Linked DNA regions of Tamandua tetradactyla. Each later gene encodes a partner of the first gene's protein in a complex. Links are inferred from orthologs where the notes say so. Each region holds a gene or a part of one and is shown in the gene's direction. Other genes may lie near its edges.

Region 1 (7,482 bases):
CTGGTCTGTCTCTACTGCCCAGAAGCTCTTCTCCCAGGCCAGCCACTCTGGGGAGCTCTTCTGGCTCCCTTCACGTCTGCCCCTGGCTCCTCGGGGCTCCCACAGCCTCAGGGCTGGGAGCAAATGCCACTCCTCACAGTTATTATTTTCCCCTTGTCCACTGTCCCCTGAGACTGGAAGCCCCTCCAGGAAAGGGACTGTGTTGGACTCATCACAGAGTCCCCATTGCCCAGCCCAGGGCCTGACCTGCAGATGGTGTTTGGCAGATGTTGAGATTAGAAAGGGAAGGAGGGTAGGAGAGAAGTTTCCTCTCCTTCCTTTATTGCCCCCTTAACTCTCCAGCTCACTCCCTAACTCAGCCTTGACAATGGAGGCAGGTGGGGCTCAGCCACGGGAGGGAAACGAGGAGGAGGAGGTGGCTGCTGACCCAGCAGCACCTTTCAGGCTGGGCTTAAGAGCTATTTGCGTGCCTGCAGCTAAGCCCCTAATCCTCCACGGGCGGTGTCAGAGCCCCACACCTGGGGCCCCCCCAAGGTGCCAGGGCTCGGGGAAGCCTGCAAAGTGCTCAGAGACAGCCACCTCCTGGGGAGCCCGGTCCCCACCTCTCCCAGCTCGTCATGCTCCCAGCCTGGGTTTCTGGGCTCAGCCAACAATGTGCCCAGGGACCCCTCTCTGGACTTCCTACCCCGGGGAAATGAAAGAGCTCAGGCTTTGGGGTCAGAACTGTCTCGGATAAGTTCCAGCTGAGGAGATCAACCTTAGTGGTCAGAGGGCATGACCCCACCTCTCAAGGGCCAGGCATGTTTATTCATTCATTCAACAAACATTTGTGAGCACTCAGTTGGCTGGAAGCTGGCAGTGCAGCAGTGATCAGGCTGGGCTAGCCCTGATTCTAGAATAAGATGGGCAGCCAAGAGGAGACAGACAAAAAATAAGAAAGTCAACTGCTGATGGCAATTAGTATCATGTAGAAAACAGAATATGATCAGGTGGGGAGGCTGGTTTTAGGGTGGTCAAAAGAGGCCTTTCCAAAGACGTGTTCTGTGAGCTGAGACAAGGAGATTCAGTGAGACAACAGCATCACCTAACATTCATCAAGTACTTACCAAGCACTGCAAACAGTCCTGCAAGGGAGGTGCTATTATTATTCCCATTTTACAGACTAGGAAACTGAGGCAGGGGAAGGGAAGGGGCTGAGCCAAAGCCAGGTACATGGCCTATGTCTCATCTCCAAACCTTAGTTCAGATGCCAGCATGTTTCCAGAGGACACTCGGTGTGGGGAGGACAGAAGGCCTTAATTGTAAGGTGTGTACGTCCCTAACCTGGCACTGGTGGGGCAGCAGGAAAGCAGGTTAGGCTCGCCCTGCCTGTGGGTGGGTGAGGATGCTCAGAGGTTTCCTAGTCACAGCCAACTGAGGCCAACAGAGAGGAAACAGGGTCTCAGGGTCACTCAGAGACATTTGTCCGCCCCAGGCCTGTCTGTCCAGCCTTTGGGCCTTTTCCATCACCCCAGCTGGGTTCTGTTGTAGTCATTTATACCATAGTGTGAATAGCTGGCAGATCTGTCCCCGAGCGCTATCTTTGATCAGGGGCTCAGGTCGGGGAGAGGGGAGGCATGAGCAGGCCCAAGGATGCCTCATAAAGCCACCAGGATGGACTGAAGGGGCATCAGGGGACCCAACAACTCACCGTGGGATGTAGCCGGGAGGCTCAGAGAAGTGACCTCTAATAACACTTCCAGCTCATTCTGGGAGCCTGTTCTCAGAAAGAAGAGCATTTTTTATTTAAAAAAAAAGTCCTTTAACATACTTTGCAGAATACAGAGCACCTGTTACTTCCGTGTTTGGCCTTTAATCCTCCCCATAGCCTCTCGAGGTTGGGACTAGTAAATGCTCTTACAGAGGAAGAAACCGAGACTTGGTGTACCCATCCAAAAATATTTATTGAACACCTACCATGTGCCAGCCTTTGGAGATACAAAGGTGACCAAAAGAGACAAATCTCTTTCCAGTGGTGGGGAAAAATATTCACGAGGCTCCTGCCCCATGCCAGGCACCACACAGGACTCTGGGGATCCCCTCGTGAACGAGACAGACCCAGGCTGGCCCTGGTGGAGCTCAGCCTGGGAGATGCACAAGAGACACATGGGCGGAACAGAAATAATGCTTCCAAACCGCCACGCGCATTAGGAAGGAGCCCAGCTGGGTGCTGAGATCCTGGAGGGCTGGCGTGAGGCTGGGAGGTTGGGCCCGGGAAATCCGGGCAGGCCTTCATCCTCTGTCCCTCACACCTCCCCACCCTGCGGGGTCCACATCAGAATCAAACCTTCCACTTTGACCTCATTAGCGCTGGGCCTAATCACCTTCCCCCCGGGGGGGAGGTCGGCACCCCACGCGCTGCACTCATTCCACCAAACCCACCTGTGGAACAAGCCCTGGAGGCCACCGACTTGCCCGGATGAGGGAGGCCTCTGCAGGCCTGGGTGGGCTGGAGGGAAGGGAGATGCCCTGTTCTGAGCAGAGAGGAGGGAGGAGTCCCAGGGAGGGAAGAGAGAGCGGGTGAGAGGGCTTCGGGGAGGGTGGCCTAGGGACAGGGACACTCACCCTGGCCGGCTCAATTCCTGCCGTGGGGCCTTCGGACGTGGGGTTTCCTCTGCCTGGCCACCTCCCGCTCCCCCGTCTCAGCATGCTGGCTCCATCCATCGTTTAGCTCTCAGCTCAAACTTGCCCTCTCCGGGGTAGACCTTCCCCAGCTATTCACTATAAAACAGCGCGTGGAAGGGTGGGGGAGTCTTTACAGGGCCTCTGCTTTATTTTCTTGTTATTCTCTGAGCATTTCCTAATTTTATTGGTTCCCTGACTTATTTGTGGCCTCCTCATGGCCCCCCACTAAAATGCAAACCTCCTGAGGGCCGGGCTTGCTTGATCCCTGCTGGGTCTCCCTGAAACAGAGTAGGCACTTGATAAACATTTGTCAAATACCCTCCCATAGGATTCACGGGTGGTTCAGTGGTAGAATGCTTGTCTTCCACATGGTCATGTGGGAGACCCGGGTTCGCTTCCTGGGCCATGCACAAAAGAAAAGATAAAAATACACCCACCCCCCAACACATACACACACACATGCTGGGGCCTGCCGGGAGCCCCACATTGGTCCCTCATCTAACTGGCATGACGTTCCTGGCTGGTGTTACCACCCGCCTCTTTTATGAACAAGGAGAAATGGTGACTTGCCACCTTCAGCCCCCAAGTTGTCCGTCCCTGAAGCTCATTCTCTCCCCACTCCACAGTGCACCCCCCACCCGGGAGCAGCCCTCAGACTGCCCCGTCCACTGCTGGGACTGTGGCACACAGCACCATGCCTGAGGGGCCCTGTGCCCTCCCCACAGCTCCGGCACCCCCTCCTGGTCCCCTCATCCGCCCTGACTCCCTCCAAGTCATGTGTGCTGGGCATTCAAGCCTCCTTTCGCTCAGCCCTCAGATTTGCCCAGCCCACTCCCCATTGCCCTCCGGATAAAGTCAGTTTTGGGGTTGGCATTCGAGGGCCATCAGAGCTGGCCCCAACCCTTCCCCTGCCCCTCAGCTCCTGTATGGCCCCCAGGCCTCTGCTTAGCCCTCTCTGCGCACAGGCATGCCCCTTTGGCAATCTAGCTAACCACTCCCCGGCCCTCAAGAACCCAAGCGCGGCCTCCCCTGACTGCCTCCTCCAGTGCCCATGGCCTCACACACACCCCCCTTGGGCTGCAACCGATTTTCTCCCCATTCAAGCCCTCCCTGGTCTGTGAGCCCCTCCAGGCAGGGCCATTCCTTTCCCACGCTGTGTACCACGTAAATGTTTAATGATCAAGTGATGGGTGAGTGGATTCCAATTCAATGCAACAAAGCCTTCACAAACTCCTGTGCATTTGGCCCTGGGGGCATCACAGCTGGCAGGCTGTAGCTTCTGCCCTCACCACGCTCCCAATCTGCTGAGGTAAGCTGGTGCCAGGGCCCAGGGAAGAGGGGAACCGTGCAGCAACTGAAGGAAGGAAGGGACAGGCGAGGGAGAGACTCGAACTCAGCTCACACCAAGCCAGGGAGAAACGGGCAGGGGCTCCAAAGGTCCCCTGGGACCCAGTCCAGAGCCATCAGAGGGACAGACAAGCCGGCAGGGGAGGCCCTGTTTCCCTTTCCCAGGCCCCCAGCCCCTCCCCTCCGCACCCCAAGGCTTCTGCCTGGTGTCACCTTGGAACCCCAACCTCGGAAGCCAATTAGGCTCCCGTGGTGGTGCGGGGATTATTAATATGCTTAATAACAGCCCCGATCTCCCAGGTGCTGACTCAGCCCGGAGCGTGGGGGGGGGGGAGGTCACTTTATCAGGGCCTGGGGGGTGGGGGGGCGGGTGTCAGAAGCCGGAGGCTGTCCAGCCGGAGCCCTGGGTGGCCGAGCTCGGGCCTCAGCTGCATTCCTGGGCCGCCGCCGCCATGAACGGGACCGAGGGCCCCAACTTCTACGTGCCCTTCTCCAACAAGAGCGGCGTGGTGCGCAGCCCCTTCGAGCACCCGCAGTACTACCTGGCCGAGCCGTGGCAGTTCTCCATGCTGGCCGCCTACATGTTCCTGCTCATCGTGCTCGGCTTCCCCATCAACTTCCTCACGCTCTATGTCACCATCCAGCACAAGAAGTTGCGCACGCCCCTCAACTACATCCTGCTCAACCTGGCCATTGCCGACCTCTTCATGGTCTTCGGCGGCTTCACCACCACCCTCTACACCTCCCTGCACGGCTACTTCATCTTCGGGCCCACGGGCTGCAATCTGGAGGGCTTCTTTGCCACCCTAGGCGGTAAGGGCCGGGGTGCCCCAGCGGGGTGAGGGGTGGGGAGCGGACCCTGGGGCCGTCTCGGGCCACGGGGTGGCGGCTGAGAGAGGTCTTCTCCGACCATGAGCCGAGGCTCTCGTTTACCCAATCAATAAAAGCTGTTAGGGATAAAGCCGGGCTGCCTGACGACAAAGACAGCCACCCAACAGTCTTTATTTCATTGGCATTGGGGCTAATTGCCGCATTTTTTACAGCAGAGAAACCTAGGGTCAGGGACAAGTCAAGCCTTGAGGAAGTCTACACGGGGACGGGGGTGGGGTGGGGAGCAGAGCTGAGACTGGATTCCACATCTCCGCAGCTCTGCGGGCCGTTTTCTGAGTACCAAGCCTTGTGCTTCCCTCGGAACACCTTCACCAGACCCCGGGGGCTAGGGGTGGCCAGACTTAGTCCTCCCCTGGCCTGTAATCTGACTCCCTTCCCAGCCCATTGATTCTTGGGCCCCCCACCAAACTCTCTGCCTTGCTTACATGCTTTTTGTGTCGGGAAGCTCATCACCTGAAGCAACCCCTTTCATAGGCGGGCCTTAGAATTGGGTGACAATCTGTACTTTTAAAAGGTACTTTTGAATATTTTCTTTCATTTGACTGGAAACTGGCGGGGGTCCTGCAGGGATGATGGAATCTACTTAGCAGATGAGACAAGTGAGGTGTGGAAAGGGGCACGAGACTGGGCAGGGCAGAGCCTCAGTTTCCTGGTCTTGAGTCAGGAATGTCGCCCAGGCAAGCAGGGGATGCGAGAGGTAAGATGCTACAAAGCCAGGGTGTTGGGTGGGGATGACCCTGCCCACCTTGCTTTGCCTGTCCCTCATGCAGCCGGCATGCCGCCTGCCCCTCTTCTCAGGCTCTGGCCACCGTCGGAATGTTTGTCACCTTCAATGCTCATCTCTGACCCTCACTAGGATCAGAAGATGGGGGCGGGACAGAGGGCCCCCAGGCAGGTGGGCACCCCTCTGCAGCGTCAGTTCCAGTTTACAAGCGTCTTGGAATAGTCAGTCGTTCGTGGTGTTTCCTTTCATGCTCGGAAATGTCCCAGTTCAGTTGATGAGTTAAACGGCCACCCTACCTATTGAGCTCCTGGGGTGACATGAATGAAGAAGTTATTTCATTCTTCCTCTGGGAAAAGTGTTACCCAATCCTTTATGGCACCTAGGAGAGGGTCCTCATGCTTAGGTTATTTCAGTTTCCTATAAGGGGTAGGCTACTATGCAAGAGATAGGGAAGGGGGTGTCCTTCACCTCTACACTGGGAGCCTGCACCTCTACACTCCTTCTACTAAAGAACCCTGCCTTTTGCCCCATGAAGGACGTGGTCTTCTGTTAAACCTCCCTAAAGGGCTCCACAGTGTCTGAATTTGCTCTGCTCACTCCTTCTTGGCATGCTGGGTCCCACCACCCCCTCCCCACCCGCCTCCCCTTCCCTCCTCTTCTCAGTGTCCAGACTTCTACCTGCTTCAGTTTATCTTTCTGGGAGTGCTCCCAAACATGGATGAGTGCTCCCATATTTGGGATGAATGCTCCCTGCTTGGGAGGTGTGCTCCCCACCTGAGAGGAGTGCTCCCTCCCCAGACTGGTATGTGGGGTCCAGATAGGTGGTGCCCTGACCAATTTGGCTGGCTGCCTTGCAGGTGAAATTGCCCTGTGGTCCTTGGTGGTCCTGGCCATCGAGAGGTACGTGGTGGTGTGTAAGCCCATGAGCAACTTCCGCTTCGGGGAGAACCATGCCATCATGGGCGTCGCGTTCACGTGGGTCATGGCCCTGGCCTGTGCTGCACCCCCGCTCGTTGGATGGTCCAGGTAATGGGACTGAGCAGAAGGGAAGGGTCCCCAGCCAGACTTCAGACCCAGGTGGTCTGGTTCCAGACACCGAGCTTTGATATCCTCTGCCTCAAGTGCCTGCCCTGGCAACTCTCTCCCAGGATAGGGATTTGGGCAGGGGGAGGAAAGCCTGAGGACCCCCAGGCTGCCTTGAGGACTGGTCCCGGTACCCGAGTCCCTGTGTCAAGGAGAATCTAAGGTGCCCCAAGGCTTCACCTTGGTGGTGCCCCTAATCCCCAGTTAAGCCCCGGGCCAAGTGCAATCCTCTTTGGCCCAGGGCCTCATGGGCAGCTCCTTCTGACCTTGGTCCTCAACACCAGTGAGGCCAAAACATCTCAGTGCAGATGGTGACACTGTGATCGGGATGGGGTCCACTCCAGGCTGCCGTCTCCATACGGGGGCGAGATGGGGGCCACCAGTTTGGACAACCATGACTCTAGGGCTTGTGGTCAAAGAAGTGGCTCCTGAGGCCACATTTCCCCATGCTTTGGGGAAAATCCCATTCTTGCCTCCCTTTCATCCTCTCTCACCCTTCCTGGAGTCAATTTCTCAGCTCTGGCTAAACTCCAGCCCATCTCCACCTCCTCTTTCCTTGTCTTCTCCAGTCTGGCACCCTTACATCCTCCATAGGCTCAGCCAGCAGATGCCCTAGGTTTTCTGGTGTCATTCCAATGTCACCATGCTCAGAATTATTGAAAAGGCCGAAACACATGCCCCAGGGGCCTCCTGCTTTCCAGAGCTGCTCAGAGGGCCTAGAGAAACCACCCTTACCCAGTTCCTAGAGTGAGACTCCAACTGCCTCAAGTGCA
Region 2 (7,520 bases), on another chromosome or scaffold:
TTAGCTTGGACTCTCATAATCTTTTTTTTTCCTTTTGGTGGATGGTCCAGGAATCAAACCTGGGTCTCCCGCATGGAAGGCGAGCATTCTACCACTGAGCCACCTGTGCACCCTCGTGATTTCTTAATAGAGGAATCCTACCCACTTTTCCTTGCCAGTTGTTCCATCTACAATTTCATGATTTTAACAATAATTCTCACACAGGGTGTGAGGCTAGATCACAGAATGCAAGCAGTCTGAAGATACATTTGTGTGGCAACCACTCTCTGAAGAATAGATGCATTACTTTGGTTCTTAAACTATAGAGATGCTGTCAAAATGAGCAAAATATGAATTCTCTCTGAATGTCTTTGAACTTAGTCTTTCCCAGTTAGTCTCTGAATTTGCAGGAGAATGCACGTATGTGTTGAACTGTACATCTGTAATCAAAATGACCTTTTATAGGCAGGTGCTTGTAGGGAGGAGAGATAGGGAGAGTGACATTGTTAGAGGACATTTCTCCCAAAGCGTGCTCAGAAAAAGTAAGACTAGATGCTTCATAAAAATGGGTTTCCAACAATGTGGGGAACCCGTACTTCTACCTCCACATGGCAGCGACAAGGCAGCTCTTTGCCTTCCCACCTACGTGGTGTCACAGGAAGCCTGGTGGGGACCCAGGACTTTCAGCATTGTCCAGCGGTAACAAGGCTCCCTCACAGTGGAGAACGTGGGGAGCCAGAACTCCCAGTCCTCCCCAGCAGCAGTGAGGAGCTCCCTGCCTTGTGCATCAAGGGTGTCAAATATGGAACCTGGACTTTTTCCTCTACCTGGCAGCAGCAGGGCAGTGCTCCCTATACCCCTGGCAGAGTGGTGTCAAGGAAAACCAACTAAACAGAAGGTTTAAATAAGATCTTGTGTCTCACATAATAACATGAAGATGCACAAGTGTCAGTAAAAAGTCACTCAAGAAACAAGATCTCAAACTGAACAACCACAAAAAAGACAATAAGTATGAACACAGAGAATGAGAGAGATGTTAAAATTATCTGGCAAAGATTTTAAAGCAGCCATGGCAAAAAGGCTTCAACAAGCAATTATGAAGATGCTTGAAAATAAACAAACCAGAAAGCCTCAGTAAAGAAATGAAAAGTCTCAGCAGAGAAATTGGAGATATGAAAAAGAACAAACTGGAAATGTTAGAGCTGAAAAATAAAATTATCAAAATTAAAAGCTTAATGAATGGACACAGCAGCAGAATGAAGAACTATCAAAACTCAGTAAAAAGCAAATGATCCAGTTAGGACATGAGCAAAAAAACATGAAGAGACATTTTACCAGAGAGAATATTCCAATGGCAAAGAAGCACATGAGAAGATGTTCATCTCATTAGGCATTTAATGCAAATGAAAACCATGAAATATAACTACACGCCTATCAGAATGGCTGAAATAAAAAATAGAATACCACGTGATGATATTGTGAGCCGTTGATTGTATGTTAGACAATCTCAAGGAGTCTACCAAAAAGCTCTTCCAGCTAAGTGTATTCAGCAAGGTCACAGGGAAGCACCTAAAAATCAATTGCATTTCTCTATATTTGTGTAAACATTTGTCAGTAAAAAAGTATTTAAAAAAATAGAACACCAAATGCTAGCGATGACGTGAAGAAACTGGATTACTCATACATTGTTGGTAGGAACATAAAATGCAACAACCCCTCTGGAAGTCAGTTTGACAGTTTCTTAAAAAACTAGACATGCAGCTGTCATATATGACCAGGAGTTGCACACCTGGGCGTTTATCCCAGAGAAATGAAGACTTATGTTCATATAAAAACCTGTACATGAATGCTCAAAGCAGCCTTATTTGTAATATCAAGAAGTAGAAAATGTTCTATAGGGTGCGTGGTTAAACAGACTGCCATACATCCACACGTTAGCACACTACTACAATAAAAATGCAACAACTTGGATAAAGCACCAGAGAATTACACTGAAGGGGAAAAAAGCCAATCCCAAAAGGTTACATGCTGTAGATTCATTGCATTTATTTTAACATTATGGATATGGAGAACAGATTTAGTGGTTGCCAGGAATTAAAGAGGGGAGGGGACCAGGGAGGGGGAAGTGGGCCTGGCTGTAAAAGAGCAGCAAAAGGGGCCCCTGAGGTCGTGGTCCATGTCAATGTCTTGGCAGTGACACTGTCCGACTGGTTTGCAAGATGTTCTCGTTGGAGTAGCGAGGTAGTGGGTACACGGACTCTCTCCCAACCATCTTACAATTGCATAAACCCACAATTATCTCAAAATAAAAAACTTAATGAAAAAAAAGGTGGGGGATTCCAGAGTCAAATAAGTTGGGAAACACTGCATACTTTACTTCTCTTAGAGAACCATGTTCATTCTCGAATCTCTGAATAAGTCCTGCAATAAAGAAACATGGTTAAATTTTCTTCAGTCTAATGTTTCCCACGCCATTTAAGCGAGGAACAGCCCCCTTCCCCAGGGTAAATCTTCATGTTAATCCAGGAATTTGGGTTCCTTAGATCCTTGCTACACACAGCACCATCCTGGGCCAGCTGCATCCATGTCACCCGTGAACTTGTTCGAAATACAGAATGTTGGTCCCTACCCCAGAGCCACTGAAGCAGGATCTTCATTTTAACAAGATCTCCAGGTGGATTCATCTGCATGTTCAAGTTTGAGAAATATTGACTTGGAACATATTTTGGGAATCACTGGTGTAGGGTGACATTTTCCAAAGCACCGGGAAAACCACCGTCCCGTTCCAAACCTAATGGGGCCGACAGGAAGTTTCCTAGGGAAAACTGAATCTCAGAGTGATTGGCCCAAGGTCACCTGCTCTCAGGTAGCAAGGCTGGGACAAGCATAGGTCTCCTGGGGGAATAATGTAACAATATCAGCTTCAAATATTTACTCACTCAATCCACCTGCCTTAAACCTCCTTTGTTAGGAGTGGGGTCATGACCTCTCAGCACAGCACGTTCTCGTTTACATTTTTCCAATTGTGATAGAGGATCCCACCTGTCTTCCCTTGCTCCCCCCCACCCTTAAGGAATCCCGTTGTCCTCCTGGTTCCTCCTTTCCTATGACTGATTTGAGGTGGGGCTGGGCTAGACGGCCTCCTGAGCCCTTCCAGCTCAGGCATCCTTTGTTTCTGAGACTCACCACTACCTCCTCTCTTTAAGCTGTATTAGATCCTCTATTCACTTCCTCATCATTCATCCACAAGCTACTGCGCACCCATTATGTACTAGGTGCTGCGGACACAGTGGCAACAGGACAGACGTGGTCTTGCCCTCGGGCCCCTGGCATTCTGTTCTGTGGCAGCGTCCCCAGCTTTGTCCCCAGCTCTTCATTCCTTCAGACACACCTGCTATCTCTGCACAGGGTCTCAGACCCTTGCTAGAGGCCCCCACGTCCCCTGCCTCTCCGACCAAATCTCATCTGAACATTTCTCCTGGCAATTCTGCCCCGCCAGCAATGAGAAGAGGAAAAATGCTGACATGAGAAGAAGAAAAACGAGGCTGAGCGGGATTCCTCAGCCAGTACCTGCGCCCACTACAGGACTTTTTAATCTGCAGATCAGTTCAAGGAAACACGTGGTCAACCACACTGCTCTCTTGGCTAATTTAAAATCAGGTGTCAGGTCGAGAGGAATCTCAGCCCTCCTACACTGGTAGGAAGTAGAACCTAGCTGGGTCGGCGCTTTCACCCCAGGACATAGGCAGCAGCTTTTCATCGTCCATTTTTTCTCTCTCATTAAATTCTTGCTATCAGGTTGTTTTCTTCTCATGCGCGTCCTTCTTTTTTTTGTTTTAAGGATAAGAATGAAGTACAGCCTGGGGGGAAAAAAAAAACAGCAGCCATCTTTAGCGACTTAAGCTTTGTCCCTGGGGCCTCCCTCCTCCCCTTCACATTTGGGCTGTGTCTTAGGGCCTCTCTGCAGACCTCAAGTTTCTGGAAAGACCTTGTAGCCCCGCGTCCTTCCAGCCAGGAGACAGGCAGAGGCGTCCCACCCCACCCCCGTTTGTTTCAGAGGGTCGAACCCAAGAGCAACTCAGAAGGAATGTGCGGCTCGGAATTCCTCAGCGCGGGGCGCGCAGGGAGCACGGGGCGCGCAGGGAGCACGGGCGTTGATTGCAGAGAAAAGACATGGGGCCGGAGGAAAGAGCGCGGAGTTGAATTATCGGTCTAATCCGTTTAGGAGGTGGCTTAGGGGGATTGTCTTTGTCCGGCGCTGGCCGGTCACCTCTAACTCGGCTCCCCGCCGTCACAGCCCGGGGGCCCGGGCTTAGCCAGCCGCGGCGTCGGGCCCTGGGGCTGCGGACACTCGCCAGCGGCTCCTCCAGGCTGCGCCGCGCCGCCGGGACGCCTGCCCTGTCCCCACGAGGGCAGCAAGGGCGCAGCAGGCCAAGGGCGGCGACGGGTCAGTCCCCACCTGAAGGCGCGCTCTAGGGCCCGGCGCCGGCCGGGGCTTCTCATGCCTGAGGCGGACGCGGGACGCCGCCAGGATGGATTTTGGGTCCTTGGAGACCGTGGTGGCCAATTCTGCCTTCATCGCGGCGCGCTGCAGTTTCGACGGGAGCAGCGCGCAGGCCCCCCGGGACAGGAAGTACCTGGCCAAGCTCAGGCTGCCCCCCCTCTCCAAGTGCGAGGCCCTCCGCGGGGGCCTCAGCCTCGAGTTTGAAAGTGTGTGCTGCGAGCAGCCCATCGGCAAGCGGCTCTTCCAGCAGTTCCTAAAGACGGAGGAGAGGCACGAGCCGGCCTTGGAGCTCTGGAAGGACATCGAGGACTACGACACGACAGATGATGACCTCCGGCTGCAGAAGGCCCAGGCCATCCTGGCCAAGTACTTGGACCCCCAGGCCAAACTGTTCTGCCGCTTTCTGGATGAGGCAATGACGGCCAAGGTCAAGGAGGGGCACGCGGCCGTGCAGGACGGGCTCTTCCAGCCCCTCCTCGACGCCACCCTGGCGCACCTGAGCCAAGCCCCTTTCCAGGGGTACCTGGGCAGTCTGTACTTCCAGCGGTTCCTCCAGTGGAAGTGGCTGGAGGCCCAGCCCCTGGGGGAGGACTGGTTTCTTGACTTCAGGATTCTGGGGAAAGGGGGATTTGGGGAGGTGTCAGTCTGCCAGATGAAGGCCACTGGCAAGTTGTATGCCTGTAAAAAACTGAATAAGAAGAGGCTGAAGAAAAGGAAGGGGTACCAAGTAAGCAGCCGTGGTAGTTCACAGCAAGTGCAAAGTAAATGGCTTTTAGATTCCCGGGGCAGGGCAGGGTGGGGCTGGGAAGTGTCAGCATTTAGATTAGAGCCTAGAGGACGAATCTGTGTCCCGTGTCTCCAAACAGGGCCCCCTTAGCTGGCTTTCATGCCCGAGGTAGAAGGCAACCTTGCCTTGGAAAGGATGGTAACCTTGCCCTTTGAACATCCAAACCCTCTTCAGTTGTGCAATCGTTGGCTAGACTTCTAGTCCATCAGTGTTTACTCATATACCACGTTTAAATATCACACATCAAAATTAGTCCCTTTAAACATTTTTTTTTTTTGGTGGCATTGCAGCCTGCTGTTTTCCAGCCACAATGTGGGGCAAGGAGGATGCAAAGTGTATGACCTCTAAATTCCCTCCCAGGTCTGTGATTCAACTTGCCCAGCTGCTTTTAATAACTAACCTTGGGCTTGGAACATGGACAGGGGATTTGCAGATTTCTCTGTTCAGAAACCGATCTTAGCATTTTTAAAATTTATTATGATGATGATTATTATGTTTTGGTGTGGCTGATGTTCTGCATTTGATCGTCTTTGTTTTTACCAACACCACTGAAATACAATAGCAAGTTTAGGAGAAACAGTGTCTTATAGGGAAAGGTTACTTAGGGGATTGGTGTTCCAGATGCTCTATCCTGGCTTTCTGAAAGACTCTCCCTAAAGCTCTAGCTTATAAGGTGATGGAGAATGCACAAGAAATTGTGGCAGGATTTGGGTCAATCAAATATCACTTTGATTGACATGTTTACAGAGGCAGAGCCCCTCCCTAACACAGGGGTGAGGATTTTTGCTTTTGTTTTTGTTTTTCCTGAATGCACAGGGAATGGGAGTATAGGGAAGGCACATTCAGGTTGTCCTAAGTTTTATCCTCTTTTCCTAACTGGCGTCAGAATGTCCATTTAGGGCAGGATCAGGGAAAGCTGATTAAAATGCCTTAGGTCGGCATCTCCTGAAGTAGCCTCCCCAGCTGCACTTTCTGCTCCATAAGCTTCTCTTTCCCTTTTGAGTTGCACGGCACAGACAGTGTTGAGGGCAGACAAGGTGTTTAGGGTTAAACAGCAGCCACCCCAAGCATCCGCCAGCTAGGGGTCGTCTTGACAGTAGGCTAGGCACACCTGTGATTTAGGCCCATTAGCTAAAGGTTAAAGGTCAGATGCCTGTGGCAACCAGTTGAATGAAGGTATCCAGACAAATCTACAGCGCTCTCACTGTGGGGCTTGGAGTGGAAGTAATTATCCCTCCTACTTATTTAACTGTAATTTTAATCCCCTGAGTTCAGTATCGTTGTTGAACACAAAGTACTTCCATTGAATTCTAGGTGGAAAGGAGCCTCCTTCAACATGAAGAATTCCTTCTGCAAAAAGGAATCTGCTTTCTTTTTCTAAACCCAGCTTTTAAGAACAGTGAAACAGGATGAGGTATCAAAATAGAGATAAAAAACTAAATGGAGATGTGAGGTGGTTTGGAAGGGCACTGTACAATTGTTCTCCAACTCCACAGATCCCTGAACAGGAGGAAAGGAGCAGAGATTGCAGCAAGACAAGGTGGTTAGACATAAGGAAGAACTGTAAGGGAAAGCAGATACATTTAGAGACATTTAGAGCTGCCAGGGGAGGAGGTGGGATCTTAATAGGATATTTTTAAAAACTGCTATATTTGAGCATTGCCTTGCCTGGAAACTGATTCAGAAGACCTGGGGAAGTCTTCTGCTCATTCATGAATTTCGCATGTCAGGTTTTCTGTCTGTGAAAAAGAAAGTGACACTGTTTATCAGTTATTTGCAAAGTATTTAAAAAAAAATCTCCAGCCATGTTTCTATTTTGTTGTGCTTGCTACTCAGTAGGCAGCACTGCAGAGCACATGGCCTAAAGGAGGCTTTCTTGTCTTGTGGAACTTGACCTTTTATGGGGATGGCAATTTTCCCCCTAAACCTGGATACTTACTCAACATCTTGCTTTTCAGGGTGCCATGGTAGAAAAGAAGATTCTAGCGAAACTCCATAGCAGGTTTATAGTCTCTCTGGCCTATGCGTTTGAAACCAAAACTGACCTGTGTCTGGTGATGACCCTCATGAATGGAGGCGACATAAGGTAAATGGAACCTTCCCCAGAAGGGGGAGGGTGTCCTGGCTGTCACCTGGGATGGAGTGAGCCCCACAGGCCAAGCTTGGTAAGAGGATCTCTGGGGCCCGGCCAGGCCTGCTGCCCACTCAGGCAGAGCTTGCGCCGTTCAGGATGTGCCATCGGAGGGGCCC
Region 3 (7,252 bases), on another chromosome or scaffold:
ATGAGGGGAATGAAGAGACTAGAGAGAAAAAATAGATTCTGTCTCTTTAAGACTTCTGTGTTGCCTTTGCTTGAGCGGATTTGAACAATGGCTGTCCTCAGAGCTGGCTCCCAGTGAACTGAAATAGCTGATCAAAAGCGGTGATTAGTGATCTGATCACACACACCCCTCTCCCTGATTTTGGAGGACTAGGTCCTTAGAGGAATCCTGGCACCAGCAAGTTGCATCAGGAGTCTGCGCTGCAGTCCCCACTGCTGTCTGCCACACGGCTAGGAGATAGGGGATAGTAGCTGCTGTATAGATGGTGAAATTCACTAGTATTTTTCACGATTTCCCAGCCTCTTCCTCCAGCTCTTCCCTGGATACTGCCCAATATTCCAATAAACTCCACAGTTTCAAAATAGTTCATTCAGATAGTTCCTGCCAGCTCAATAGTTGTTTTGATAGAGAGACTGATTCCTGGAGCTTTCTACTTTGCCTTCTTCTCACAATCCAGATATATGTTTAAATGTATAACAGTTTTATATTTTAACCTTTCTGTTGTCATCAGTGTAATACGTGATTATCGAAGAAGATTGGAAATTTATGAAATTTACAGGCAAGGAAATTTTTAAAAAAATACTTGAAGCTTTATTTTCTCACCACACAGAGACCCCAAAGTTAGCTCCTTGCAGATTATGCATTTGTATGTAAACATGCATATATATTGTGATAGGTTGGATTACCCAGAATAAAACATGTTTGTAATTAACCCTACTTCTGTGGGTATGAACACACTGTAAATAGAATCTTTTGAAGATGTTAGTTTTAGTTAAGGTGTGGCCAACTGAATCAGGGTGGGTCTTAATCCTGTTATGGAGGTATCATAGGAATAAAGCCATGAGAAGGAGCCAGAAGCTAGAAGTCAGTGGAACCCAGAAGAGAAAGGAGAGGACATCATGTGATGGGACAGCCAAGGACCCCAAGGATGCCAGCTGGCCAGAACGCTACCAACCCAGGGAGGAAGCAAGCCTTCCAGTCTCTGAAACCATGAGCCAATAAATTCCCATTGTTAAACCAACTCATTGTGTGGTATTTATTTTAACAGCAGGGTGTCTAAGACATATATGTATATGTGTATATATAGCACATGTGCATGTGTATATGTTTACCAAAATGTGATCATACCACACATACTGTTCCACAACCACCTGTTTTCAGTCCCAATAATTTCTATAAATTATTCAATAAATTCTATCCCAATAATTTCACTTCACTGACACTCACTTGGCCCAAAGTGTCCTATGCATGCTGTTTGTCCAACTGGGCATCCAATCTGGGACCACAAATTGCATCTGGATGTTGAGTCTCATCGGTGTCTTTTAGTCTAGGACAGTCCCTTTTCTGTATCACTGATTATGGAAGACACTAGCCTCTTTACGAATTTGTCTGGTAGCTCTCTATGCTCTACACTTTCCATAAAACTAGAAGTGATGTCTAAAGGCTTGATAGTTTGTGCAGTTAGGATTCCACCTTGCGATGAGAAAGTAATCCATGTGATGTAGAAACAGCCATTTCCCCATCAACTCTTCGCCTAATGATTTTAACACCAATGAATAATCCTTGTCTGTGTTGACAATTTCACCAAGGTTTCTCAAGTGATGTTTTTCTAATTCTGTCATTTCTTTTACATTTATTAGCTGGCATTTTGTAAAGAAAAGTTTTATCGATTAAAAAGAAGTTTCCCCCAATTTTTAGGTGGTTGTACTGTTGTAGCTCAATAACTCACTGATTCAGTCAACATCTGTTAGGACCCCAGTTCTAGAAGCTGGAAATGAAGCAGGTATAAAACAAAAAACCTGTATACTCCTGGAACTTGCATTTGAGGAAGGGGGACAAACAGTAAACAAGCTGAATAAGTAAACTATCTTGTATGTTAGATGGTTATGAGTGCTACAGAGAAAAGTAATGCAGTAAAGGGAGAGAAAAGGGTTTGGGTAGGTGATTTGCAATAATGGATAGAGTGACCAGAGATATTCTTGCTGGAAAGGTTACAATGAAGTAAAGAACTAAAGGAATTAAGGGAGTAAATCATGTGGCTATGTGTGGGAAGAGTACTCCAGAAAAGAAAGTAGCAAAAGCAAAGACCCTGAGGCAGGAGTATGCCTGGCATGTTTAGACAAAAAAACGGCAGTGAACTGGAGCAAAGTGGACGAGGGCTAGAGAGGGGAGAAATGAGGTCAGAGGTCCAGGGGAGCCGGGTTGTGCACGGCCTCACGGACACAGCCCTGACTCAGGTGAGTAGGGTTTGGATAGGTGCTGGCACCCCAAGGCTCAGAACAGATGCTCTGCTTTCACTTGCTCTATCCACAGACAGCAGGTCAAGTTCAGTTCATCCACATGTTAGTGGCTGCAGCTCTTGTCCATTCATTCCCTGAGTGCCCTTGGGAGCCAGGCATTGTTCCAGGCCATGGGAATAAAAGATGAGAGAAACAAAAACGACAAGGGCTCCTATTCTCAGGCAGCACAGAGTCAAGTAAGGAAAGAGACCATAAAATAATCACCGAGTCAAATGCAACTGGCTTCTAACCTAGTCCAGGAAGTTGGGAAGGCTCCCTGAGGAAGTGATTCCCGAGTCAAGAGCTGAAGGGTAAAGAGTAAATGAGAAGAAGATTGCTCCAGGTAGAGAGTGTAGAGTAGGACAACGTGGAAAGGCAGGTAAGGAAGGGCATGAGGAGTTGAGGCTTGCTGCTGTGTCCTGAGAGCAGTGGGGAACCACTGGAAAAGTCTAGGCAGGAGGGTGATAGGAGTGGGCTCAGGCCTGGAAGTGTTGCCCTTACATGGAGAATGGCCTGGAGGGAGAGAGATGTCTGTAGTCAGAAGTCAGGACACTACGGTCAACAGAGGGGCCTGGACTCAGGAGGACTGGGTAGAGATGGGACGATGAAGACAGGCTGCAGAGGCATCAGGGACATGGATAGTCCATGCCAGCTGGATAGGCTGCTGGTGGAGCAAAGGTGTATCCAGCTTGGCTTGCACAGTACCAGGGTTCATCTTGAGGCTGACATTTCTCCTTGACCCTTCTGTGTCCCCAACCTCAAGGTTGCATTAGCTGCCTGCCAAGTTTAATTAAGTTTGTTAAGCACTTGAAAATCCCCTGTCCTGGTGATACCTGGGAATAAAGGGATAACCAGTCTATTTCCAGAACCCAAAGAGGTTTAGTATAAAAAGTAGCTTTCATTGAGCTGCTGTCCCTCCCACAGCACCTTCCCCAGGCTGGTTTGACAGCGCATGTGTCTGCAAGATCCTCCGCAAGGAGACTCACCTCACTTAAGGCTAAGAACTGCTGAAATGACCAATTCAACCATCTTGAGGTTAATCTAATTGCCATTCTGCTCCTTAAGTGGGATTTGGTTTCTGAACGCTGAGTCCCTGGAGCTCGTCATTGTCTCAAGATCCACTACAAATCCCCTGTGCACATCAGCCAGACACCTCAGTGCATCTCGGGGTGGGGTCAGTTGGATAAATAGAGCCAGCTCATTCAGAAGCAGGGGCTAGCTGCTCATCGGTGGAGGCCACAGGGACACTTTCTCCACCTCTCACCGGAGTCCATCCCATTGTTTGCTGACAAACCATAAGGTATAAGATAACCCTTGTCTAAACCTTCCCAGAACCCTTGGTGGGGGTGGGGTCAAGGAAAGGCAAGTGGACGTCCTAATGGACAGTTTCACATGGTCATTCTCTTCCAGTTTCCATGGGACTTGACTTGTTAAAGATACGCTGAGTGCATTTAACCCCAGACAGCTATGACTGTCTCTTAATTGTCTATAGGACTGGGGAATGGAGAAAGAGACAGCAGGAAAAGGGAAGTGTTGCTTAGCATGCATTGCTGAGTAGAACTCTTGTGGATTGAATATATTTTGAAAACCATATCTGTAATGTGATCATGTGGCGGGTGTCAGGAACTTTTTCTACCTCATTGCCAAAGATTCCTGGAGAGATTTACCATGAAATGTTTCAGGCTTATCAAAAAAGAATGTATAAAACACTTTTTAAAAAAGCACACTGCATTAAATGTTTAAAAACTAAATCAAGACCTTAATTCAGTCAAACATGGGTTTTGAGGCAGGTAGAAGGATATGCCCAATGATGGGCAACAACTCATGATTGGGTTTATATTTAGGATCTCTTTACCTTTTCCCAGCACACTATCACCTGACACATACCCTCAAGGTGAAAGAAGTTGCCAGGGCCAGGTACCATGGCAGGCAGCATGAAGACGAGTAAGTCTAGCCAAAATCACGTTATCTTCAAGAAGATCTCCAGGGACAAATCGGTAAGTGGTACAGGAGGGAGTGGGGATGATGGTAATTACTGTACAAAATATAACTAAATGGAGCCTTTTCAAAAATAGACATGATTAACACCAAAACCCTGTTCACATCTTCTCTTTAATCTCATCAATACTGTATGGTCCTTTGACCCTTCATTTCTCCCCAGTCTGTCAGTCCCCACCCCAACCTTCACATTTACTTCTTTTCCTAGCCAGCTTTGAACCCATTCCAAACAGGGTCCTGTCAGTACTTGAAACTCACCCTGCTCTTTGTCTATCATCTCACCTGCCTGGGGAGAGCCTCATGCAGATCAATGCGATGCCCTGCCTTCCCCAGCTGCCCAGTCTCAAGCCTCAGCTGAGCCTTCAGTGCCTGGACAAGTGAGGCCAGCACAGATGCTCCCTACCTGTGCACCACCCCTGCACTGTGGCTGTCCTGCCACCGAGGCCCTGGTAACCATCCATTGTTGGTTCCATCAGGGGCACGTTAGATAGTCTAGGAGTGTCCATTGGCTTCCTGGCGTGGGAAGCCTGATGGAGGCACAGTTGCAATCCACCAAAGCGGTGAGGGTCCTCTGTGACAAGATCCTGGCTCTACTTGCCAGCTTCATGGGGGCCGACAGTCTAGCTCAGTGCTGTTCTATGGAAATACGATACAAGCCTCATGTATAATTAAAAATCTCTAGAAAAGGTAAGAAGGAACAGACAACATTTCCTTTAATACTATATTTTATTTAATTCAATATATCCAAAAGTGATCATTTCAACATATAAATTGCATAGAAATTATTGATGATATGTTTTACCTTATTTTATCCTTATAAGTCATTGAAACTGGTGTGTATTTCATACTCCCAGCACTTCTCAATTTGGACTAGCCATATTCTGAGCCACAACTGACTAGCAGCTACCGTGTTGGACAGTACAGGTCTAGATCGTTCTTCCAGCTGACTTCTAAAGCAACACTGGGCCTAAAGGAAACTCTCTGACCCTTGTTGTGCACACAGGAGAGCCAGGCTTCACGCAGACACCCTCCTGCTTTCCTCTTCTGTCCTAGCTGGGCCATTCCACCATTTCCATCAAGTCCTCTGATTCTATGGGTGACATATTGGGTGCCCCATGCCTTTCGTTCTCCAGAGTCTTTTTCCAGCTTGTGATTTTCAACAGCCCACATCACTTTGACTTCTGGCAGAAGAGGAAAGACAATCACTTCTGCTGGTCCTCTTTGTTTCTTCATTTTTTTCCTCGCGCATAGTTAGACATCCTTTGAATGGAGTACTTTGCAATTTTTTTGCATATCAGTAGTCACAGGAGGTAGAAAATAATTCATCAATTTAATGTCTTGTGTTATGGTCACACCGACTACTCTTGGTATTAGGATCAATCAGCTGCAATCTATGTATGGCACCACACATGGCTTACCCGGGCCCTGGGCCGCTTTCCCTGTGGTTCTCTCCACTCTGCACTCTTCTTTGTCCTCAGGCTGATAGCAAGATGGTTGCCCCAGCTCCACGCATCTCTCCTCACTTGGCAATATCCAGAAGAAGGAAGTCTCTTTTGCTCCCAGGGGTTTCTTTTTAAGAATGAAGAAACCTTTCCCAGAAGCCCACAGCAGACCTTCTGTTATATTTCATTGACCAAAACTGGGTCACATGCTGTTTTGATTTGCTAAAGCTGCTGGAATGTAACCTACCAGAAATGGGTTGGTTTTTACAAAGGGGATTTACTAGGTTACAAATGTACAGTTCTAAGGCCATGAAAATGTCCAGATTAAGGCGTCAAAAGGAAGATACATTTTCAGAGGAAAGTCTGCCGGCATCAGGTGTTCTGTCACATGGGAAGGCACGTGGCAATATCTGCTGGTCCTTCTCTCCTCCTTTGGTTTCAATGGCTCACTCTCTCTCCTCTGGAGCTTTTCTCTGGATTTTTTTCCTTAGCTTCTCTCTGCTCTCTGAGTTTCATCTGTCTTTTATCCTCTCATAGAGGACTCCAACAAGGGGATTAAGACTCACCCTGAATGTCTTGGGTCACATCTCCAGGGGAACAACCTAATCATAGGTCTTACCCAGCAATAGGTCTGCCCAACAGGGATGGATTAAGAGAACATGGCCTTTTATGGGGTACATAATAGATTCAGACCAGGACACATGCCCGCCCTAAACCAATTCCAAGCAAAAGGAATTAGATGGTCATAGTTGGATCAGGCCAATCAGGAATCACACCCTGGGTCTAACTCCTTTTAGCACACAACACATGGAGGATGGTAGAACCTGAATTCAATTGGTAGCTGCTGTCCAGGAAGAAGGGGAGTATGGCTCTAAGGGGACAACCAGCAAGGTCATCTCTGGTCTCACATGATCCAGTCCCCCTTCTATACCTGCTTCTGTCCTTCTTCCCTTCTGATTACAGCAGAAGAGGTGTTCTTGCTCCCACCTGAGGTTCACCACTTGATTTCACCCTGGTCTCATGGCCAAATAGCTCCTTGGGTCCTCAGCTATCAGCCCCTCTCTGTCTGGACTTGTTATTAACCTCTCTCTCTCCCTCTCTTCTCTGAGCATGAAAACAAGAACAAAAACATTCCCTGACCCTATCCTCTTCGCAGCAATCTCCTATCTCTCTTTTTTTTCACAATCAAAGCATCTTAAAAACAAAGTAAACACCCATTCTCTCAACCTTCTCCCCTCCTGTTTTGGTTTGCTAAAGCTGCTGGAATGCAATATACCAGAAATGGGTTGGCTTTTACAATAGGGATTTATTAACTTACATTGTACAGTTCTTAGGCCATGAAAATGTCCAAATTAAGGCATTGATAAGATGATACCTGGACTCTGAAGACAGGCTAATGGCATCTGGGACACCTGTGTCACACGGGAAGGCACATGGCCAGCGTCTGCTGGCCCTTCACTCCTGGGTTTCGTTGCTTTCACCTCCTGAAATCTA
Region 4 (7,695 bases), on another chromosome or scaffold:
CGGGGATGATAAGTTCTAGAGTCTCTTAAAGAATGGGTACAGTGCAAAAAGTTACCTGGGGAAGAACAAGACATTTCCAGTAATGTAAAAAAAAAAAAAAAAAAAAGCATGGCTGAAAGCTAAGAAGTGATGCCTATTATGAAGGACGTTAGCCTGGCTAAGGTAGAGAACGTATGAGGAGGGTAATGGGAAATATGTTTGGATAGTTGGGTGGTGCTAACTGAATTACTGAGTATACGACAAGAGAGTATCAAGATAGGAGGCACTAATTAGTTGGGAGCTATTTGTTTTGCAGGAAGGAAGTATAATGACTAAATCAGTATTTGAATGAATTTAGTCTGTCATGATTAGACAGGCTGGACATGGACAAGGAAGGCAGAGCTGAGTATCAGGAAATCTAAGCAAGAGTCTGTTGAAATAATCTGGACTATAGCAAGTGAAAATTAGGTTAAGGAAGCTAGAAATGGAAATGTGGTAAAGGGTCATGCAAACGGTGTGACCAAGTGATTGTGAAAACCTTGTGACTGATCCTCCTTTTATCCAGCATATGGGTAGATGAATAAGAAAATGAAAATAAAAAATAAATTAATGAGGGAGAGTAAGAGGTATGGAATGATTTGGGTGTTCTTTCTTATTTTTATTGTTCTGGAGTAAAGAAAATGTTCAACAGTTGATTGTGGTGATGAATGCACCACCATATGATGACACTGTGAACCAATGATTGTACACTTTGGATGATTATATGGTATATGAATATAGCCCAATAAAATTGCATTAAAAAGAGACATGCAAAAACTTCTTAAAAGTAATGGAAAATTTGGGATAGGAAGAGTACCTTGGGAAACAATTGTGACTCAATTTCCAACCTTTATTATGCACAATCATATCTTAATTCATAGAAAGAAGAATGTAGAGGGGGTAAAGGTGGAATCACCTCCAACGAATAAAAACATGTTTTTTATTACTTTTTATTCTTTAGAGCTGCTGGCGATGTATTGCAACGTCTGAATGTACTAACTTGAAACAGCAAGCCATGGCTTTTTCCCGCAAGATCAAAAGGCCGTTCTTTGGAAGCCCCAAAAGGCATGAACTCTCCAGAGGAAATACCATGCTCAGGGCTCCCAGAAGTCAAATTTGAGTACCAGTAGCAAAGAAGGTTAGTTTGCCTCAAATTTCATGGGAATATACAAGGATAAAGGTCATTGCTAAGGCAGCCAGGACTCAAATCACCCAGGGACCTAACACCTAAAGTCAACACCTCCTGTAAGATATAGAAAAAAAATACAGAATATTACAGATGGCAGTCAATCTTGACAAAATCTCCAACAGGAGCTAAGTCATGGAAGCATCTCACTGAAGTCAGCCACGTAAACAATCCCAGGGAAAATCCTGCTTGAGGACTGTAGAAGCCCAAGTAATGCTGGCAAAAGAGGTCTGTCCAATAAAATAGGTTGAAATCTCAATGTTAAAAGTAGGTGGCAAATAACCACGTGTCACTTCCAGCTTGATGCTGAATTTTAAATGTGAAATAGTAATTATTCCAATTTCTGAAAAGCTAATACCTGGATGGTGCAATGGTGGCTCAATGGCAGAATTCTTGCCTGCCATGCCAGAGACCCGGGTTCGATTCCAGGTGCCTGCCCATGTGGAAAAAAAGATTTCCAAAGATTCCTCAGAGACCTTGACCAAAACAGCAAGAGGAAAATATTCATATCGTTCAGGCTTGTGGTGTTTCAGTGACTTTTAGAGAGGAGGCCTCACTCTGTATTCAACCCCAACCCCACTTTCTTTCTTGTACTACTGCCGAAAGCAGATACCTGATGCTGTAATGCAAAGTAAATAAGATTCTTAAAAGTTATTTTTAATGATGATTCTAGAAGACAGTAGCCCTCCAATGCAATTTCTCTTGCTTTCTGGGTGCGTGCATGACATGGGTGTGTGTGTGTGTGTGTGTGTGTACACAGAACAGTTTTCTCTCTTAGCTGGCCAATGTTTATAACTCTAATAATGCTATTGATGTTTACTGAATAGCTCTATGTTATTCTTTTGTTGTTTTCGAGAACAAATAAAAACCATGGCTGTATTTTTCACCAAATAAAAAACATCTAATTTAGTTTACTTTTCTGTTATCGTCTATCAATTTTCCCTCAATGTGGAGCAAGTTTTAACTATTTGTTTTATTTAAAAGGGAGTGTGTTGCTATTACTTTTAAAGTTGAGAAAAAAAGTGTAAATGTTGGACTAACAGCTGCAATTGTAAATAGCGGCACTATTATAGACTAAAATTGAGACTTTTCAGTGTTTGTTCAAGATGCTCTAAAATTTCCAGTGTACCCACATAGCACAATCATGATCTTGGGCTTTGGCAAAAAAGCCTAACCACACATTCCCCTCAGCAGAGGTGACAGCAGCTCTCCATTATGTGGCTAAAAGTCACTTTTTAACCATTCCCTATGGCTAGTCCTGTGACAAATACTATGGACAACATCCAAGCTAGTAAGATTTTGTCCCTACTCTAGTAGAATTTAAAATTTTGATTTTTATCACTTCATTAGGTCCAGAACATTGAACCCCTGAGTGAAGCAACATGGGCTAATGGCTGTATTAAAAGCCCCAGCTCATTAGTGGTTCTGTGTTCTGGGCACCCAGGGGAGATGGCTGAGGAACCAGCTTCCTCTACTCTCCAGCTCTTCCCTTCCTCCCTGCCCTAAACACAGATGCACCTTGAATTTTATGTCAAAAAGACTTTAGTCACGGATTGAAAACGTGTAACATAAAATCTCATAAACTTGCTGCTGACATTCTAGGTTACATGGAAAATTAGGAGTTCATTATTTGCATACAATGCAGAAAAATGTAAACTTCTATTCCCAAAGGAGTTGATCAGTTTGAGTCCGTAAGCAACATAGGAAGTCTTAGCAAAATGCATACCCCATCAGAGCCAGGGTATGTTTCCACCAAAAAGCCATGGATGGGGTATTTACTTGAATGAAAATTTATATGAAGTATCCTGTTGGTCCTTTCTTGCTAGGGAGCACATAAAAATCCTATATATTCAGGTACTAGTATCAATATAGATACTAAGGCAATGGGCAAAAAGAGATTGTTTTATTATTTGTGCTCTCTTATGTGGCTTTCAGAGTGGACTCTCTGTTCTTGGGTGACTATAAATAAACTAGGCTGGTATCAGTCTCTTCCATTGGAGACAGGCCCTTTGCAACGTAAAAGCAGTGTCACAGGATTTGCATAAATCATTATGTACCTGTCTTTCCACTATTAATGCTATCATAACATGGCTTTGGAGAGATGAGATACACAAAGTTTTGACTATGCTTATGTATCTGTAACCTACTATTTTTATGTTAAAAAGTAAACAAAGCAGGAATATGTATATAACCTGGCAGCCTATTTCCTTGCTGTATGATTATGCAAAAACTCACCTGTTCAAATTTTGCAGGTGCTCCCATGAGAAGAGCAGCACTGACAAGCTGATGGACTGACTCTGTATTCCAGCATTTTCTAGCAAAAAGTCTGAAAATATGCAATGAAAGACTTGCCTACTATAGCCACAAGTAGCTAGCTCTGTTTATAAGGAAGACATTGATTGAAACCGATGAAGACCTTTGTGCTGCACATAAATAAGCCATATAGACACACTCACTGCCCTCAAGTCTATAGATCGTTAAGAAGTACATAATATCTAATGGGGTAGCGTGGAACATATAAAGGACTACTCACTGTTCTTACTTTTAGGAATAATTGAATTACCCAATATTTCAAGGATCATTGCTTTTCCTTCCCTTGGTACCAAATCTATAAATTTCCTTCCAGCTGGCAATTATTGCTTAATGGCCCCAAAGAGTTAATGCACTATCTAAATTGAACACAATTCAGTACCTACACCAAGTGGGCCCTCAATTAATGTTGATGGATTGACTTTCTCAAAGGCAGTAAAAGCTCAATTTATAGAGATAGAACCTTTGAGATTAAAATCAATCATTTAACAGAGGTATATGGTGAATTCTATTTTTTGACAATACAAGAATAAATATGAGCTATATTTATTTATTCTTGCTCTTCAGAAATGTTTGTTTTATAGTTAACTGACAGTAAAACATTTCCATTGCTAATAGTCTAAACATAAGGGTATGTGATCTGAATCTAAGCACAAAGAGAAGAATAAGACTTGGATAATTTAATATGAATATTGATTGTGATGTAGGAATGATTATGAGGAATTTGGTGACTCAAAAATTTGAAGATAAGCAGCAAACATTTTTTAATAGTAATCATAACTTAATCAGAGTAGCAAAGAGAGCTATTCGTGAGAAATATTCTGTTTGAATTGCTCATTGTAGATAATCTTGAAAGATTTTTTGCCACCATCTGTATTATTTCATGTTATTCTTTAAGAAGGCAAGCAGGTTTTGAAAAAAATGTGCCAGCTGTGGCCATTTAATTTGAAAGCATAATGAATTTCCTCTGCAGTTTCCATCAGGATTGTAGGGTTTAGCCTCTTGATCAGGTGACAGATCAGTAAGTGTTTCCTTAGTCAAAGCAGAATTTTAAAGGCCAAGAGAATGGACTGTTGGGTACTTCAGCAAAACATTGCTTTTGCATCCTTTGTCCACACCTAAGCATTGATTTGGGAAAGTTTGAACAAATAACTGATGAGTGTCTAACATCACAAGATGGGGAGCGGAATTAGTTCAGAGAGTAAAGAGTCAGCCAAAAGGTCAAAAGAACTGGAGAAAAAGCTTCAGGAAGATGCTGCGCGAGATGCAAGAACTGTCAAGTTACTGCTATTAGGTAATATATATTTTCTTCCTTTTACTTTTAAAACACTGATTTTTTTTCAATTGTGATGTATTTACTTCTCAAAATTTAATTTCAATTTACTATTATATGGGAGATATATTATAAAAATGCGTTTGGGACCTTGAATAGACTTTACATGCCCTCTATAAATACTTAATAACATATTTTTCTGTTTAGTATTTTATTTCATGTCCTTATTACTCAGAAAGTCAAATATTTATTAGATGACTCTATTTCCTGATGTCAATAATATAATTTAATATTATTGGAAGAAACAAGCACATTTATTATTTTATAGCACCCTAGTCATTTTCAACTTTTTAATATAGAAAAAACACTTTAATTATGTCATAAAGATCTATGATATTTTGTGTGAACACAAATATATTGCGTTATTTGACATCAAAGTTAATACGCTATTCACTTACTTGTGCTATTAAAATCAACTGGTCTCAACCAATTTAAGGATATGATAAAGTACTTTCAATGTATTAATAATGGTATTCAGTCTCCTGAATACTGCCCATGATCTTGCCTATATAGCTCAATTACACACAATTTGTGTTCTTATAGGACATTTGTATATTTATTCAGAATAGAAAATGTTTCTCTCTTATATTTTAATTCCCTCAAAACTCAGCATGCTGCTTTACCACAGCTATGACTTCAATAAATATTCAATGACATGAAAGAACGAAAATAACCTCCATGCTACACATCCTTCTAAACTTAAAAATTTAACACATAGAAGGTCACACTGAAAGCAGAAATGTTTTTCAATAAAAATAAAGACCTATAAAAATAATACAAAACAAGAACTTTAATTTAGTCACAGTTGTGGGTGTTCTCTGTTCTTATACAAAAAAAAAAGGCCTTTATTTCATTTCAAAATTGTGACTCCTTCACACAACAAAATGTCTTGGTTTTTTGTTTTAAATTTTTCCTTTACTACGTTTAATTTGCTACCAGTATCAGGAGTCTCATAAATCAGCTGTGAGGTTCCCAGCTCCTCAAAGGCAAGAGACTTCTCTGTTCCTTTAGACACAAGTTCTGTGGCTGCACCCATGAAACTGCACTTTCAAGTAACCGCCTAGAGGTTGGTGACAGAAGGATGTTGGGTGAGCACTTATAAAACCAGTATAAGATTCCAAAGTATTGGCTGAGGTTTTTGATCAAGAGTGGAAGTAATTCAGGCATAGAAAAAGAAAAGAAAAGGTGGGAAGGAAAATGAAACATTCTTATAAAAGCATTTCATGTATTTCTTGTACTAAGAACACTGGCATAAGAGTGTTGATAAAATTCATTTAAAAATTCCCTATGTTTGTATAAAATTTCAGAAAATAGACCTACTTTTTCAATATGCCAATTGATTTTAAATCCAATTAGTGCTGGGTTGAATCTGGGAGAGAGTAAATTTTGTACAGAAGTATAAAAGAATCATTAACAGTACAATTACAATTTTGACTTTTCCAAGACAATCGTGATTTCCTGCATTCAGTTCTTCATTGCCATAAAACATGCTTGTATTTATTTTATTCCAACACTATGTGCACTGAATCTTCCTATCACTTCTTTATTGCTTCAAAACGATTAAAATTCTCTTAAGTTTTTCTTGTTTCAATTACAATCCAAACATTTTAGTTATCCCTTATGGACTCTGAATTCTGTCATGATTCAATTGCTAAATTCAAATCAAAAGGTCTTTCAATATCTCTTCTTTAGTTCACATTTTCAAATGGAACTAAAGTTCTCTAAAAGTTAATTTTTATATTCATTTTGGCCACATAATGACAGCAAAGATATCCATGGTACTAAACAAAACCTTCCAAACACTACACAGCCAGTACCCCTCTGCCAACGAAGACTATTTAATTTGTCTCATCATTGAAGCAATGGTATTCATTAGTGTGGTCTGAACCAGAGTTTTCAAAGTTTATTAATGCGCATGTATCATGTGAGACTAACCGTTTGAAATCCGATTCTGAGTCTCACAAAAAATAAAAAATCTAAAGATTGCTTTTAACAGAATTAATTCCTCATTTTGAATCTGTTCTTATTATTTGGTGAATGTCTAAGTCCTTAAACACCTAACACCAGTGTTACAAGTCTAATATATACCGTGAACTTGTTGTACCATTTGAAATATTGGACACAAGATTTCCCTAAATCTGAAGAACTATAAAAGTGCTACTTTACAATGAAAGAATCACCTTGCAGACAGATTTCTTTTTTATTATGCCTTTCAGACCTTAATTAAAATTACAGAACAGTGCTAAAACTGTTTCTTTAGCAAAAAGTAGGCTTCTAGAAAATACTGGAGCTGATGCAAGTAAAAAGCATTTGATAGCTGCTTTCAAGACAATAATACCATGTGCTTAAAAAAAAAAAGTGAGCCTGTAAACATGCCACAGAAAAGATTACAGTTTAATAAGAAAACAAAATTCTACTTTGTAGACTTCCTAAGGTAGTTATTTGAGTCTTTATTTATAAATAATATTTGACTAAAACTTTTTTATTCAAAAGAAATACCTATCATTAATTATGGAGGGATTCAGCATGTCAATTTCTGTTTTTCTTATGTCTCCTCTCTTTTATGTCTTTTACTTCAAATTTCAGCTTCTGATTTATTTCTTATTTTATGGCACTTCTTCTCTTTGTAGTTTTGCAAATTTGCATTATAAGAACTGGATTAGATTTGCAGCCCCATAGGAAGTATGGCTTCTTTCTGATCACCAGTGATAAGAGAAGAATCTTGCAAACAATATATAGAGCACACTCTTGAATAACACTTTCAGTTGTTTACAGTATTTTACTGATCCCAATTTAAAACCTTTCTTTCCTTCCTCCAATAATAGTTTTTATTTTTTATTTTGTGTTT

Evidence for each region.
Region 2: the proteins of RHO (region 1) and GRK1 are in contact, whole or in part, in a cryo-EM structure (PDB 7MT8), measured with the Bos taurus proteins. The link is inferred for Tamandua tetradactyla from reciprocal best matches to the Homo sapiens genes RHO and GRK1. Residues at the interface, in NP_001014890.1 of Bos taurus: Lys66, Lys67, Arg69, Thr70, Arg135, Val137, Val138, Val139, Lys141, Ser144, Asn145, Phe146, Arg147, Phe148, Glu150, His152, Leu226, Thr229, Val230, Ala233, Gln236, Gln237, Glu239, Thr243, Ala246, Val250, Met257, Ile305, Tyr306, Met309; in NP_776598.1 of Bos taurus: Leu6, Glu7, Thr8, Val9, Val10, Ser13, Ala14, Ile16, Ala17, Ala18, Arg19, Gly20, Asp23, Ala24, Glu184, Asp185, Trp186, Phe187, Leu188, Asp189, Phe190, Val192, Arg195, Glu200, Gln205, Met206, Lys207, Lys221, Arg222, Thr256.
Region 3: the proteins of RHO (region 1) and SAG are in contact, whole or in part, in a crystal structure (PDB 4PXF), measured with the Bos taurus proteins. The link is inferred for Tamandua tetradactyla from reciprocal best matches to the Homo sapiens genes RHO and SAG. Residues at the interface, in NP_001014890.1 of Bos taurus: Arg135, Val138, Val139, Lys141, Leu226, Glu249, Val250, Met253, Met309, Asn310, Lys311, Gln312; in XP_010802144.1 of Bos taurus: Asp71, Ile72, Met75, Gly76, Leu77.
Region 4: the proteins of RHO (region 1) and GNAT3 are in contact, whole or in part, in a crystal structure (PDB 4A4M), measured with the Bos taurus proteins. The link is inferred for Tamandua tetradactyla from reciprocal best matches to the Homo sapiens genes RHO and GNAT3. Residues at the interface, in NP_001014890.1 of Bos taurus: Leu72, Arg135, Val138, Val139, Lys141, Thr229, Val230, Ala233, Thr242, Thr243, Lys245, Ala246, Glu249, Val250, Asn310, Lys311, Gln312; in NP_001103452.1 of Bos taurus: Ile344, Asn347, Leu348, Lys349, Asp350, Cys351, Gly352, Leu353, Phe354.

What each region holds. Positions count from the first base shown.
Region 1 is NC_135335.1:35,766,560-35,774,041, reverse strand, and holds the start of RHO (rhodopsin), read left to right. Parts: upstream 1-4,463; coding exon 4,464-4,824; intron 4,825-6,483; coding exon 6,484-6,652; intron 6,653-7,482. UniProt on the Homo sapiens protein: Photoreceptor required for image-forming vision at low light intensity. Required for photoreceptor cell viability after birth.
Region 2 is NC_135330.1:184,470,475-184,477,994, forward strand, and holds the start of GRK1 (rhodopsin kinase GRK1), read left to right. Parts: upstream 1-4,511; coding exon 4,512-5,210; intron 5,211-7,228; coding exon 7,229-7,356; intron 7,357-7,520. UniProt on the Homo sapiens protein: Retina-specific kinase involved in the signal turnoff via phosphorylation of rhodopsin (RHO), the G protein- coupled receptor that initiates the phototransduction cascade.
Region 3 is NC_135329.1:209,372,705-209,379,956, forward strand, and holds the start of SAG (S-arrestin), read left to right. Parts: upstream 1-4,240; coding exon 4,241-4,315; intron 4,316-7,252. UniProt on the Homo sapiens protein: Binds to photoactivated, phosphorylated RHO and terminates RHO signaling via G-proteins by competing with G-proteins for the same binding site on RHO. May play a role in preventing light-dependent degeneration of retinal photoreceptor cells.
Region 4 is NC_135327.1:137,177,362-137,185,056, forward strand, and holds the start of GNAT3 (guanine nucleotide-binding protein G(t) subunit alpha-3), read left to right. Parts: upstream 1-4,690; coding exon 4,691-4,808; intron 4,809-7,695. UniProt on the Homo sapiens protein: Guanine nucleotide-binding protein (G protein) alpha subunit playing a prominent role in bitter and sweet taste transduction as well as in umami (monosodium glutamate, monopotassium glutamate, and inosine monophosphate) taste transduction.